Linked DNA regions of Saccharomyces cerevisiae S288C. The gene in region 4 interacts genetically with the main gene of each other region. Each region holds a gene or a part of one and is shown on either strand. Other genes may lie near its edges. The genes, in order: YLR036C, RDS1, MAK32 and RDR1.

The links.
Region 1: mutations in RDR1 (region 4) and YLR036C together harm fitness more than expected from each alone (negative genetic interaction), as found in Saccharomyces cerevisiae (one large-scale study listed by BioGRID).
Region 2: mutations in RDR1 (region 4) and RDS1 together harm fitness more than expected from each alone (negative genetic interaction), as found in Saccharomyces cerevisiae (one large-scale study listed by BioGRID).
Region 3: mutations in RDR1 (region 4) and MAK32 together harm fitness more than expected from each alone (negative genetic interaction), as found in Saccharomyces cerevisiae (one large-scale study listed by BioGRID).

The regions. Positions count from the first base shown.
Region 1 is NC_001144.5:220,995-223,770, forward strand, and holds YLR036C (uncharacterized protein), read right to left. Parts: upstream 1,139-2,776; coding exon 527-1,138; downstream 1-526. Other genes in the region: seripauperin PAU23, read right to left, coding at 1,691-2,065.
Region 2 is NC_001135.5:309,200-313,956, forward strand, and holds RDS1 (Rds1p), read left to right. Parts: upstream 1-1,758; coding exon 1,759-4,257; downstream 4,258-4,757. Other genes in the region: ADH7 (NADP-dependent alcohol dehydrogenase), read left to right, coding at 1-956; AAD3 (putative aryl-alcohol dehydrogenase), read left to right, coding at 4,691-4,757. UniProt on the Saccharomyces cerevisiae protein: Zinc cluster transcription factor involved in resistance to cycloheximide.
Region 3 is NC_001135.5:151,012-154,476, reverse strand, and holds MAK32 (Mak32p), read right to left. Parts: upstream 1,641-3,465; coding exon 549-1,640; downstream 1-548. Other genes in the region: PET18 (Pet18p), read left to right, coding at 1-465. UniProt on the Saccharomyces cerevisiae protein: Necessary for the structural stability of L-A double-stranded RNA-containing particles. Necessary for growth at 37 degrees Celsius as well as for maintenance of the killer plasmid.
Region 4 is NC_001147.6:1,049,638-1,053,474, forward strand, and holds RDR1 (Rdr1p), read left to right. Parts: upstream 1-1,652; coding exon 1,653-3,293; downstream 3,294-3,837. Other genes in the region: AMF1 (Amf1p), read left to right, coding at 1-1,421. UniProt on the Saccharomyces cerevisiae protein: Transcriptional repressor of multidrug resistance genes, such as PDR5. Required for growth on non-fermentable carbon sources like lactate or glycerol.

The DNA.
Region 1 (2,776 bases), on a different chromosome or scaffold from region 4:
TTATTCCAACACTTTCATACGTAACGGGGGTAATATTACTAGCTGTTAGAATAAGAGTCAACGATCATAATTGACTAGTAACGCAAATACTACTAAACAGATGATGTTTTAGAGTTTCATTCTAACAAATTGATAATGTAGTAGAATAATGAATGACAAAGTATAAAAGAAAGGAAGACAAAGTGATTTTATTATCAGAACTATCAACTCCCTTTCGTGAATTCCAAGACTGTTGAGGAGAACTTCTAGTATATTTTGTATACCTAATATCAACAACGAAATCCCAACAATTAATACGAAGTTCACCCATTTTCTGATAATTGTTACGTGCAAATAATAGAACTACTTTTGTCGAGGTGTAATCTCGTATTCAAACTATATAGTAAATTATTCTCAATGGTCGAGTAATGCAAGAAGATGATATTGAATACTTTGCGTAACTTTACCAATTATCCAATATGCAACAGTAAAATGATACCTTCACATTTCAAGCTAATTCCAAAATAATACATATTAGGTAAAATCCTCAATTTAATTGCCCGGTTTTACCTTCAGACATCGCTCCCTTTCCATTGACACATCTATACCCTTCAATGAACCCGCTATGTAATATCAACGCATCGTAAAAATAGAATAATAATGCAGTAGTACATATCCAGCCTAGCTGCAATCTAAATAGCTGTGATAGTCGGTGTAAATTAATAGTTTGGTCAGTTTTAAAAAAAAACCTAATTTTGGTACAAAAGTAGAAGCTGAAAGCAGTCATTGATACCAATAACAAATACTTTAGCTGAAACCATTTAGGATACTTTTTTCTGGCAGCACAGCTGGGACATACTACCTTCGAACATCTCTTTGGCTTTGTTTTATTTTCATTTTTAAAATGACCGTTCTTTCGATATAAAAAGAAAACTATAATAACGAGGGAAATTGTTACCGCCCCCAGAATCATATCTATGATCTTAATGATGATTGCTTTTGGGTACTTTTCAATCAAATTATCTACTGATGGCACCATAAAACAATTTATAAAATAAAGGCTACAAACGGCCTTTGTTAATTTTTCTATAATTAATAAGGAATTAGACTTTGGGATCTCATCTTGGCTTTCTGTCGCACTAAGTTCTGCCTCTTTCATTATTTCCTATACTTTGAAGGAGAAAGTAAACTTTAACGGCAAGTTCCTGTCTTAACTACCTTTTAGTTCTCGTGTGTTGTGAAGGGCCTTTGAGGAAAAACTCGAAAGTTTGTTCCGTACTTTTAAACTTTCAATTTTTTACCAAAAAGGCTATTTACCGCTTTATGGGAAGATCATGGCAAGTCAAATCCACGTTAAATGGAACAAGATTAACTTGCCACAGATCAAATGCTGAATTGAAGAGAAGTTTTAAGCATTAAGATTCTTAATATGATCATTAATATATCAGTACGTGTCTCAACTGGAATCGTATAAGGTTCTTGTAAGTACAAATTGTATGCAGAAATTTAAATGCGAGAACAAAACTTGAATCTCCCCCCGCATTTAAAAAATATCTTTTTGAACACAGTGCAACTGATTAAAAGTACCTGTAATACATATATATGTTTGTATACGTATGTATATCTAATTATTTCTTACCGTCAAATCATAATTATTTTTATCCGTTCGTAAAGCAATCCAGTGCTAAATACCAATTGTGAGGCCATCGGCTTAGTTTGGAACAGCAGTGTAGATACCGTCCTTGGATAGAGCGCTGGAGATAGCTGGTCTCAATCTGGTGGAGTACCATGGGACACCAGTGATGACTCTAGTGACTTGATCAGCGGGAATACCAGTCAACATAGTGGTGAAATCACCGTAGTTGAAAACAGCTTCAGCAATTTCAACTGGGTAAGTTTCAGTTGGATGAGCAGCTTGGAACATATAGTATTCAGCCAAATGAGCTCTGATATCTGAGACGTAGACACCTAATTCGACCAGGTTAACTCTTTCGTCAGAGGGAGATAAAGTAGTGGTGGCTGGGGCAGCAGCGACACCAGCAGCAATAGCAGCGACACCAGCAACAATTGAAGTTAGTTTGACCATTTTTTTCGATTGAACTTTTGTAGATCTTTTTAGTGAAGATGTGAGCTCACTCGAATGTAAATAACAATGCCAAATTGTCGGAAAGAGTTAATCAAAGCTGCTCTATTTATATGCCGTTTTTTAATAAGCGACGGACGAACAGATAAATTGTTGAATAGCTATTTCACTGCTGATATTTCTCTTACTTGGGCTCCCCTATCCCATACTCTTCACCACTACAAATATGCAGTTGCCCTTTCTTCAACAATGCTTTTTTTATAGATCTCGTATACGGATCCGCGCCTTTGTACTACCTATATCTTATTATGATATATACAGGAGCACAGGAATGTTCGGTACAGGGATGATACCTTTAAAGGAAGTTTTGGCATGCCTTGACAACTTCAATTAATCTTTGGCCAAGAAAATGAACCAGAAATCAAATTTTATTCTGTGCCCTCTGAACGAGGGCAATATCCAATGTTTGACACTAAACGGTTGTCAGGAGAAAAATTGAATGTTTCCCAAATCAGAAACATTAAAATCCCTCTATATGATCAGAGGAGTCGTACCTGTTAGGGTATGAGCGAGGAAACGTGATTGAGAGTTATAAACTGACCATACGAAGAGTTACGGCCATTGATTGGGTTCATGACACCCAGGGAAGTTTCTTTTGGATTAAAATCACAAGTCTTGCAATTGCTGTATGTATTGCATGAGTGAAGTAGTTGG
Region 2 (4,757 bases), on a different chromosome or scaffold from region 4:
GTATCTGCGGATCTGATTTTCATATAGCCGTTGGTAATTGGGGTCCAGTCCCAGAAAATCAAATCCTTGGACATGAAATAATTGGCCGCGTGGTGAAGGTTGGATCCAAGTGCCACACTGGGGTAAAAATCGGTGACCGTGTTGGTGTTGGTGCCCAAGCCTTGGCGTGTTTTGAGTGTGAACGTTGCAAAAGTGACAACGAGCAATACTGTACCAATGACCACGTTTTGACTATGTGGACTCCTTACAAGGACGGCTACATTTCACAAGGAGGCTTTGCCTCCCACGTGAGGCTTCATGAACACTTTGCTATTCAAATACCAGAAAATATTCCAAGTCCGCTAGCCGCTCCATTATTGTGTGGTGGTATTACAGTTTTCTCTCCACTACTAAGAAATGGCTGTGGTCCAGGTAAGAGGGTAGGTATTGTTGGCATCGGTGGTATTGGGCATATGGGGATTCTGTTGGCTAAAGCTATGGGAGCCGAGGTTTATGCGTTTTCGCGAGGCCACTCCAAGCGGGAGGATTCTATGAAACTCGGTGCTGATCACTATATTGCTATGTTGGAGGATAAAGGCTGGACAGAACAATACTCTAACGCTTTGGACCTTCTTGTCGTTTGCTCATCATCTTTGTCGAAAGTTAATTTTGACAGTATCGTTAAGATTATGAAGATTGGAGGCTCCATCGTTTCAATTGCTGCTCCTGAAGTTAATGAAAAGCTTGTTTTAAAACCGTTGGGCCTAATGGGAGTATCAATCTCAAGCAGTGCTATCGGATCTAGGAAGGAAATCGAACAACTATTGAAATTAGTTTCCGAAAAGAATGTCAAAATATGGGTGGAAAAACTTCCGATCAGCGAAGAAGGCGTCAGCCATGCCTTTACAAGGATGGAAAGCGGAGACGTCAAATACAGATTTACTTTGGTCGATTATGATAAGAAATTCCATAAATAGTCTATATACGTAATATTTTTCAGAATCTCTTAAAATGCATGTCAAATCTCGGAATTTATCATGACCCATTACATAACAAGAGAAAAGTGGTTTGCATTGTATGTATACCTTAAACCAATTCTTCGGTAGTCACATGACCTATATATAGGGACATTCATTTCTTGAATAGGATATTTCTTAAACTTAAGGGAAATTTTGATGAAAATTTAGAATCTCTCGACAACAGTGCAGAGCAGTAAGTTTTATTCAATACGAAATGTGTGCAGGGTTTTACCCATTCATGTCGAGTACGTCTACATTTGTTCTGCGATTTAACTTAATACTTAGCCTACTCATATGTATCGAAGCCAAACTATTAAATCTGAAAACTGAATACCCATTAAGTAGGTACATTAATGCAATTTTCGTCCGAAAGGTAGAGTGTTAATCATGCTTTTACTTCGAAATCTAGAGTCCGAGCATGTCTGATGAGGTCCTCTTAAAGCACTTCAATTTTAAAAGAGAAGAGCGCAAATTTTTACAAAGAATGCCTATATTAATATACTGTGCTATCTAAGAGGATGGTTCAATGGTTTGAAATGAGTTGAAAAATAAAGATTTACATAGTAGCGTGTATTCTTCACATTTTTGCATTCGGTAGATTTTCTACTCAAGACCCGTGCAGATCACTATTACACTCATTATTACAAGTCATTGAGAACGAAATTTTGACATCATTACTAATAATGTTACTCATTAATACTTTATTAATGTAAGCGGTAGATAAACAAATGAACATGAAATTGGCTGCTGAAATGCTCTGATGGATTCGATTACAGTAAAAAAACCTCGGTTAAGATTGGTTTGCCTGCAATGCAAAAAGATCAAACGGAAATGTGATAAACTGCGGCCTGCTTGCTCGCGATGCCAACAAAATTCATTACAGTGTGAATATGAAGAGAGAACAGATTTATCTGCCAATGTTGCAGCAAACGACTCTGATGGATTCAATTCCTCTCATAAGCTCAATTTCGAACAGCAACCTGTACTTGAAAGGACTGGGCTTAGATATTCCTTACAAGTGCCTGAAGGTGTCGTTAATGCTACGCTGTCGATATGGAACGCCGAAGATATGCTAGTTATAGTAGGATTAGTTACATTTCTGGATTATCCTTTTGCTGCGCATAGTCTGGCGCAACATGACCAGTATATCAGGGCACTTTGTGCTTCGTTGTACGGCATGGCGCTTGTTGACTTTAGCAATTATGCTAATGGTATTCCTTGTGAAGACACATCAAGAAGTATACTAGGACCATTGTCATTCATAGAAAAGGCCATTTTTAGACGGATAGAACATAGTAAGCAATTTCGAGTTCAGTCTGCCGCCTTAGGGTTATTATACAATGCATTTTCAATGGAAGAAGAAAACTTCTCGACTCTTCTACCGTCACTCATCGCTGAAGTGGAAGACGTGTTGATGCAAAAAAAAGACTGTGAAATACTTTTGAGGTGTTTCTATCAAAATATTTATCCCTTCTATCCTTTTATGGACATTTCACTCTTTGAGAGCGATCTCACTAGTTTGCTTTTACAAGACGACAATAATCGTTGGAAAATTAGTACTGAAGTTAAAAATGTGCGCAAAAAAATAGAAACTTTGTCATTACTTACAATAGTAATGGCCATGGCCTTGATGCATTCAAAATTGGATGCAAATCTTCTTTCAATGGTAAAAGAAAATGCCTCCGAAAGTGCCAGGAAACTTTCTCTTTTATGTCATAAACTATTATGCCTCCTGGATGTATTTCGCTATCCAAATGAGAACACTTTTACTTGCCTTTTATATTTCTACGTTTCAGAGCATTTAGATCCCGAGAGTCCCGATTGTGTACTGAGCCCCACTAACTTGCTTACTCTGCACCATCTTTTAAATTTGTCCATGACCTTAGGTCTTCAATATGAGCCTTCGAAGTACAAACGTTTCAAAGATCCAGAAGTGATAAGGCAGAGACGGATATTATGGTTAGGAGTTCAGTCATTACTTTTTCAAATTTCTCTTGCTGAAGGTGATGCTGGTAAATCAAATAGTGAATATATGGAGGCATATTTAACAGACTTCGAAGAATATATTGAAGCTTCCTCAGAGTATGAAAAAAGTTCTGCGAGTGAATCGAACGTGCAAATGAATGATATTGTTTGGAATAAGTACAAATTTCACGTCATTTTGAGTAAACTAATGTCTGATTGCACTTCAGTTATACAACATCCGCAGCTTTTCCACATTTTAGGAAATATTAAAAGATCTGAAGATTTTATGGCTGAGAACTTTCCTACAAGTTCGATTTACCAACCCCTTCATGAAAAGGAACCAAATGCGATCAAAGTTGGCAAAAGTACGGTTCTCGATGTCATGGATATTCAAAAAACTGAAATATTTCTTACAAATATTGTGGGAAGTATGTGTTTTTTAAACATTTTTGATGTCCTATCGTTACATTTTGAAAAAAAATGTGTTATGCACTGGGAAGAATATGAAAAGAACTATCATTTCCTTACTTTGAAAAGTTTCAATGCATACTTAAAGCTAGCAGGGTTGATATCTGATTATCTCGAGAATAAGTTTCAAGGGAACATTTTAGAGAGTCGCGGTTATATCATAGATAAACAAATATGTTTTATGCTTGTAAGGATCTGGATGTTCCAATGTCGTATTTTGTTAAGGTTTTCATACAAGCAAGAAAGTCAGAAAAAATTGGCCTCTTCCAGTATATCCACTAACGATAATGAAAAAGAAGATGAAATGATTGTCATTTTAGAAAGACTTATTAAACACATTCGTAACCAAATGGCACATTTAGTGGATCTAGCAAAGGGAAAACTTCAAGATAGTTACTTTGGTGCTTACCAAACTGTTCCCATGTTTAGATACGTTGTGTATTTGATCGATGTTGGCGGCTTAGTATCTGTGACAAATGGGTTTTGGGATAAGATTTCCAGTGATGGTGAAATACCGCCAAAAGTACAACAAGCCGTGAGATTGAAATGGGGATTGGACTGCAATAATTCGAGAAGAATCAAACAAAAGTTAATAAGCAGCCAGAGTTTGCAGAGTTTCAATCAAGTTCTGTTGTGCCAGATGGAGGATGCAGTTCTCTCCAGTTCCTTCGCAATAAAAGCCAATACCGCTATGTCCCAAAACACGGCTGAAGAATTTTTCAATATCAGCGAAGAAGAGGCTTTAAATCAACTATTGGAAAACAACAATTTTGATGCCTTCTGGGATTTATTAGGTGAAAATCTGAGCGATATGCCTTCTTTGTGAGAATACGGATATTTGGAAAGGCTAAAAAAAAAAAAACAAGCCAAAAACAAGAAACACTGTTATCCTCCACGTTTTTTCCACTGTTTTAAGACTCGACAAGACGGAAAGATTCCTCACATTTCGCAGTGTTTCTTTTAACCTGCTCGTCAATTTGAAAAAATGAGCATGGTTAGGCAGGCGGAATGTAATAGGTGCGGTGCGTATAAATAAGTATCTCGGCCGTTCCTCTATTGCGCTCGGCCGAGATGTCCTACATGCATAAAATAGATTAAAAAAAGGGATCACGATACTCAAATATGCATATAATAACAACAACACACTTTGCGGTAAATAGAAGGATAATATCGTAATCTTTTGCTGGTTTCGATGATGACTTGAAAAAATTCAATTACTCTTTCGATCATCTAGAAGAAGCATATCCATCGTGCTTAAAATGATTGGGTCCGCGTCCGACTCATCTAGCAAGTTAGGACGCCTCCGATTTCTTTCTGAAACTGCCG
Region 3 (3,465 bases), on a different chromosome or scaffold from region 4:
TTAGCACCAACTACTCACGCTTTAATAACCTTAGCCAAAAAGATTGGATTTTTTTCTAATGATGAAAACTCATACTTTCATGACTGCTTAGAATTATTGGCACCATCCCTCACCAAGGAAGAAAGAGATAATTTTGACAATAAAGCGATCCCCGGCGTTGATGCGTATATTAATTTCTTAGATGAGCTGAGAAAGGACGCCTCAATTACATGGCCATCCTTAGTAACCAGCTTATGGGTTGCTGAGGAACTCTATTGGAGATGGGCTCGTGATACTCCTAGAGCCCCAGGGTTGCATTGGAAATATCAAAAATGGATTGATTTACATGATGGTGAGCATTTTCAAACTTGGTGTGAATTTCTAAAGGCTGAAGTTGACAAGTTTCCCGTCGAAGAAGTGGAAAGCATATTTGTGAAGGTTTCACAGTTCGAGTTCGAATTTTTTGAATCTTGTTACAACGCCTAATCTCAAGTAGTATATAACACTTACTTATATATATATATGTATATTTTTGCAGAAAAATAAGAGCAATGAACAAGCTGATATGATCATCGTGTTAGACTTTTGTAAAGATCGTTTATATTATATTGAAGACCGGACTGTGAAAGGTAAAATTTCAGTCTATCCAAGAATGTGATTCCGTTCCAGGTTTTAGCAATTGGATCGTACCTCGGTATTCCGAATTGTTCAATTATTGCGCCTGCAGCGATGTTCCCACATATACTAGCAATATCTAAGCTTTTCGTTAGGGCATAAGAAACTGCAAAGCCGCCAAGGAACGAGTTTCCCCCGCCAGTAGGATCTAGTACTTTAGACTGAGTTTTGAAATGGTAGGCGGGGAAATGGTCATAGGTTCGTCCGTTCTTAAACTTCTCACTTACCGATATGCTTCCGAGGGCACCGCATCGTAGAATACACATATTGTTTTCATCCATGAAATCATCGAAACGATGCGCTAATGCTAGACATTCTTCCAAACTAGTCGGTTCCTTGCTACTTAAACCAAATAAGCGACTTGATTCTTCGGCATTTGGAGATAATATTACCGTAACATCGTTCCTCTGCATTACACTTTTAATGTCATTTTGATGATCAAAGTCGCAAAGATCTGGGAATGGCTCCCAAATCACGATTGGTTTTGTGCCCTTTGAACTTTTCACCCGTAGCAGATCGTTTATTATGTCTAAGCATCTAGACCCAGAACATAGCAAATGAAACGCATGCATTTCATCAATTATCTTCTGCCCAAATGTGGAAATCCAGTCATCGACGTTAATCTGCTTCTTCGGCGTCAAAAACTTGAACTTTCTCAAATCATCACTTCCCTCGTAATAATTCAACCCTTTGGTAGTTAATCTGCTAAAGTCATCTCGAAACCTCACATCAGTACCCCATGAGTCTATTTCCCTTATAACTTCCTTTGGAAAGTCAGAGCCTCTGTCCACTATCCACTTCAAACCTTTGGATGTGACATTGCCGGAAGATATTATGCATGCACCCAAAATGGCAAAAGTCCCTCCGCCTCCTGGGACATTCTTATAGTGAATATTATATTTACTACGCTCGATGTCGTCTATGATAAACATGCCATTAGTTATGACTAGGCTTTTCGTTTCTGTAGAATCCTCTTCATTCATCATTATCACGTTCTTTATTTTCTTAGAACAGTAAACTTCTTAAATCAAATGTGAGAAGTGTTTTCATGTATAGCCAGGTTATGCAATAATAGAAGGGATGAAAGCTTTAGTCGCGCCTGTTTAATATGCAATTACTTTAGCACTACCGTTTATTGTCTTGATATGACATTTATTTGTCAGCTGAGGATCTCGGAAATTTTAAATGTAAAAAGGAAGTTCCCTAGAGTAATCGTAGCATTATCATACATTCAGATTCACAGAGCAACATGCAAGTTTTAAAATACATTATTAAGTTTTTGCAGAGGCAAATTATACATGAACACTCCTAAAGTACATTTAATTACAATTATCTCAGAGAAGATCTTCTTGAGTCCCAACCAACAAAAGTTTAAACACACAAAAATCGTAGCGTGCATCGTCAAGTTATGTTTGTAAGTACTGGGATAGTTAATTACTACATAGGAATATTCAAGATGTCTTTCTGATATCAGAATCGTTGTTTGTTTATTACGTCATTCCTCTTCATTTCAGTAATTCTTCTGAATAAAAGCGGAACCAAGACAATATACGATGTGCTTTTGACAGATTTGTACTTTTCATATTCGAGTAAATTTCCCTATGTTTGATGGAGTATCATAGTTTTGTTTTTCTTTTTGTTTCCTAGTCAGCCCTTTTCTTCCAGGTACATTATCTATTGAAAATGGACCCCATTATTGCTATGAATTCTGTATTACCTTTCTTGGATTGTAATTTTTTTTTCTTAAGTTATACTTGGGAACAAGACCAAACATGTTATCTTGCATAAACCTTATAAGCAAATTGGTGATATTGAACTGAGATTCCGATGACCGTGAATACCATCTAACAAGAAAATCATTTGGAATTTTGAGAAAATACAATATCCATAATAAGTACGAGAGATTAATTTTTGTTTTCAGATCAACATTCAAACACGGTTGTTAGGTGGTTGTTTTCTGATGTACTCACATGAGAATCACGTGAATTTTCAGATAGTTGTTGGGATTCCATTATTGATAAAGGCAGTAATATTATGTATACAGAATATACTAGAAGTTCTCCTCGAGGATATAGGAATCCTCAAAATGGAATCTATATTTCTACATACTAATATTACGATTATTCCTCATTCCGTTTTATATGTTTCATTATCCTATTACATTATCAATCCTTGCACTTCAGCTTCCTCTAACTTCGATGACAGCTTCTCATAACTTATGTCATCATCTTAACACCGTATATGATAATATATTGATAATATAACTATAGTTGATAGACGATAGTGGATTTTTATTCCAACAATTCTATATACGTAAAATTATAGCCTTTACCAACAATGGAATCCAACAATTACCAGCTATTCATCAAGTGATCAGAAAATAATATTGAGGTTTTAGTTCACATTTTAGTAACAGTATTTATATTTTTAAGTCACTTATTAAACGTAATTTTTCATAATTAAAGAGCCTTGTTGGCGCAATCGGTAGCGCGTATGACTCTTAATCATAAGGTTAGGGGTTCGAGCCCCCTACAGGGCTTTCTTTTTTCTTGGAAAAAGAAAGAAACTACATTACATGTGCCGCAAGCGCAAGTAACAATGTTTATAGCTTATCTAACGGGGAATGTATTTTAAATTCAAACAACTTGAGTTATTGAAATTATGAGTGAACCTTTCCGTCATACTCATTGCATTGCGCTCAAAATCTGCGAACGTATCGCACCAGCTATCTGAGTATAAAATAATAATACGCTTCATAATATATACTTTTTGGAACAAGTGGCCATTAATAGTGATATAGGATTGCTGTGT
Region 4 (3,837 bases):
GTGCCTTTGTCGGAGTGCTGTGCTCTGCCCAACTAATGACTCAGGCAGGACTTGGACAATCATTAGCGCCGCTTCACATCATCGGTAACAGTTTTGGAACAACGAATGCTGGACAACTTAGTTGGTTTGCTTCCGCATATTCGCTAACTGTTGGTACATTCATTTTAATTGCTGGAAGACTCGGAGATATCTTCGGACACAAGAAATTCTTTGTCCTTGGCTTCTTTTGGTACGCACTTTGGTCCTTACTTGCTGGGTTTAGCGTCTACTCTAATCAGATTTTTTTTGACTGCTGTCGTGCATTTCAAGGCATGGGTCCGGCCTTTTTGTTGCCAAATGCCATTGCGATTCTCGGACGCACATATAAGCCAGGAAGAAGAAAAAACATGGTCTTTAGTCTGTTTGGTGCTTCAGCACCTGGTGGCTTCTTCCTTGGGGCTGTTTTCTCATCCATGTTGGGTCAACTGGCGTGGTGGCCATGGGCTTACTGGATAATGGGTATTGCATGCTTTGTTTTAGCTGTAGCAGGTTACTTTGTAATCCCTCACACCCCCATGCCAAGCCGCGATGCCTCATCTTTCAAGTTGTTGGAACGAATCGATTTTGCAGGGTCAGTTACCGGCGTTGTTGGATTAATTCTCTTTAATTTCGCTTGGAACCAAGGCCCCGTTGTGGGTTGGCAAACTCCATACACATACGCTCTTTTGATAGTTGGTACCTTTTTCTTGGTTATTTTTGCATATATCGAGTCCCGAGCAGCTTTCCCTCTGCTACCATTTGCTGCTCTTTCTAGTGATACTGCTTTTGTACTTAGCTGCATAGCTGCGGGATGGGCCAGCTTTGGTATTTGGATATTCTATACATGGCAGTTCATGGAAGACTCAAGGGGCCAAACCCCCCTTCTTTCTAGTGCACAGTTTTCACCTGTAGCAATCAGTGGATTTTGTGCAGCCGTGACGACAGGTTTCCTTCTAAGCCATACACCCCCAAGCACAGTTATGCTTTTTGCGATGACAGCTTTCACAGTCGGAACTATATTGATTGCTACGGCCCCCGTTCACCAAACGTATTGGGCTCAAACGTTTGTGTCAATCATTGTTATGCCTTGGGGAATGGACATGTCCTTTCCGGCCGCTACAATAATGCTTAGTGACTCGATGCCACACGAACATCAAGGTCTTGCAGCCTCTTTGGTTAATACGGTGGTAAACTATTCGATATCGATAGGTTTGGGTATTGCAGGTACAATTGAATCTAGAGTAAATGACGGAGGTGCCAAGCCTTTGAAAGGATATCGTTGTTCGTGGTACATGGGCATCGGGTTGAGCGGACTTGGCATTTTTGTCGCAGCAACGTATGCATGGAGCACTTTTATGAAGTCTAAAAAAAGGATCTCCGAAAAGCAGCATTTTATAGAATAAGTTCATATATAGAGAAATACTTCATCGTGGTATATAACCCAAACTAATAGAAATAAATATAGTACGATCAAAGTGATAGAGAGGAGCCAGTATATCCCGTATCGTGCGATAAATATGAAAATTACAAGAGGCCATTCTCGAGTGAAAAGATACATTATTTTTTCAAGTAGAAACCTGAAAGAACTTCAGTAAGATAACTTAGCGCACACTTTCCTACTTTAAGCTCACCAAATGGCATCCCCAGGATCGACAGCATTACCACACAAGCGACAAAGAGTCCGAAAGGCTTGCGTGCCCTGTAGGGAACGTAAAAGGAAATGTAATGGCAAATCTCCATGTGAAATGTGCGTTGCCTATGGATATGTATGTCATTATATTGACGGTCGTGTCCCTTCGGCATCACCTCAAGTGCAACAAGTAGGTGAAACATCTCCTGATACGGAGAGCAGACCTTTTGTTCTTCCGGGTATACATAGAAACGAACAACCGCAGCCTATAAATACACAGAACGTTACAAGTCAAAACATTGTAGATCCAACTAAGTCTAGGTACACGATCCAGCACTCTGCAGTTGCTTTCCCCCGCTGTCTTGGTCTCGAACTCCGATCAACTAATCCTCCACGCCTACATTCCTTCGCTTGGCATTGCGGAATCAGACCGGAAGAAAATCCAAACTCACATGTCCTTCTTTCTGATTTAGTTACAAAGGAAGAGTATTACCGTATCTCAAAAGTTTATTTTTCAGTTGTTCACCCGATATTTGATGTTGTTAATCCAGAGCAACTGGCAAAGAATGTTGAAAAATACTGGGATGGCGACGTAAAAACCTTAGAGTATGGGGCTGTTATTGCAGGGGTGATAGCTTTAGGATCATTTTTTATGGGAAGTCTTGGCCATCCCCGAGAGATGGATATAGTACAATATGCCAAAGGGATCCTTGATGACCCGACTTTCAGTCGCATTCCCACGGTGGAGCAAGTCTCCGCATGGGTTTTGCGCACCATTTACCTGCGAGCCACTTCGAGGCCCCATGTAGCATGGTTAGCTAGCTGCGTAACCATCCATCTTTCTGAGGCAATTGGCCTGCATCATGAGATTGACAGAGAGGATATAGCGATATCGAACAACGTTCCACCAAAAAGAACTACTGTAGTGAGCGAACACACTAGAAGATTATTTTGGTGTGCATGGTCAATCAATACCATTCTTTCATATGACTATGGGCGCTCAAGTGTTACGCTGAATAGAATTACTTGCAAGCCAGTTAAGGAGACGGACGGTAATTTTACAGCTCATTTAGTCGCGTTAGCACACCTGATTCCCCAAGACAGCGTGAACGCAAACGCAGCGCAATTGTTGCAGGCCCTGGCGGCCGTTCATGAATCACCAAACGCACATCCGTTTTTGTCGTTGACCAAGGGTGATATATGCCTCTCTTTGTATAGAAGACTTCGTTTGCTGAATCATATTCTTGATAAAAATGTTGTTTTACAAATAATTGATATCGGCAACACTGCGCTATCAGCAGCATACGCTCTTGTAAAACTGGATCAAGCATGGTGGAATGTGTTGAGCACCTCATTCCAGTACGTCTGTGTCCTTCTTGCCATCGACACACCGGAAAGTCTTTCACATGTTGCTACTGCCATGAAAACGTTAGATAATATTACTCAAATTCTCGGTACACGTATTGCTTTTGAAGCACAAAAGACCGCAAAACTGCTTCTTGAGGATTCCATGAAAAAAAAAAGACAAGAAATTCAGCAGCTTGAGCAGGCAACTCACCAGAGATCTAATCTTGAAACTACTCACCTACTCGATATTGACTGGGATGCTTTGCTAGATCCATCAGACACGTTAAACTTTATGTAAAAGAGTATTATAGATTATGTGTATCGAGAAGCAAATTGATTTATAATTAGAGGGAATGGAATTGATGTTTAATACCTGCTTACTATATTTTATCTTTGATAATTGCGCAGAAAGTAATATATCCGGTATTTGAAAATAGGAAATTTAAAGAAATCCCGTCACGCCTGGAATGAGGGGTGAAACCTTGACTGATATTATATTCTTTTCTTGGACATAGTGTCTGAACCAAATGCAAATTGCACTGCATTGCACCAAATTGATGGTTCAAGTTCGATCTATAAAAATACGAGAGAAGGTCTGACTGTTTATGTCAATACTCAAGAGGCTCAGGAACAGTGTTAAAGCTTGGAAGTTCAATTCATTAAAGAAAAGTTGATAACGTCAGGTGGAAAACCGAAAGATAAAAATAAAAGCAAGTCAAGATTTGAAGTATTGCTGAGCGAAATTTTGTTTGAGTGGTCCGGAAATTTTTATACACTTTATTAGTATTTGGTTTAGTGTAGGTGGGAAAGCTTAGAACGTATGTAGAAAAACATCCCTGAAG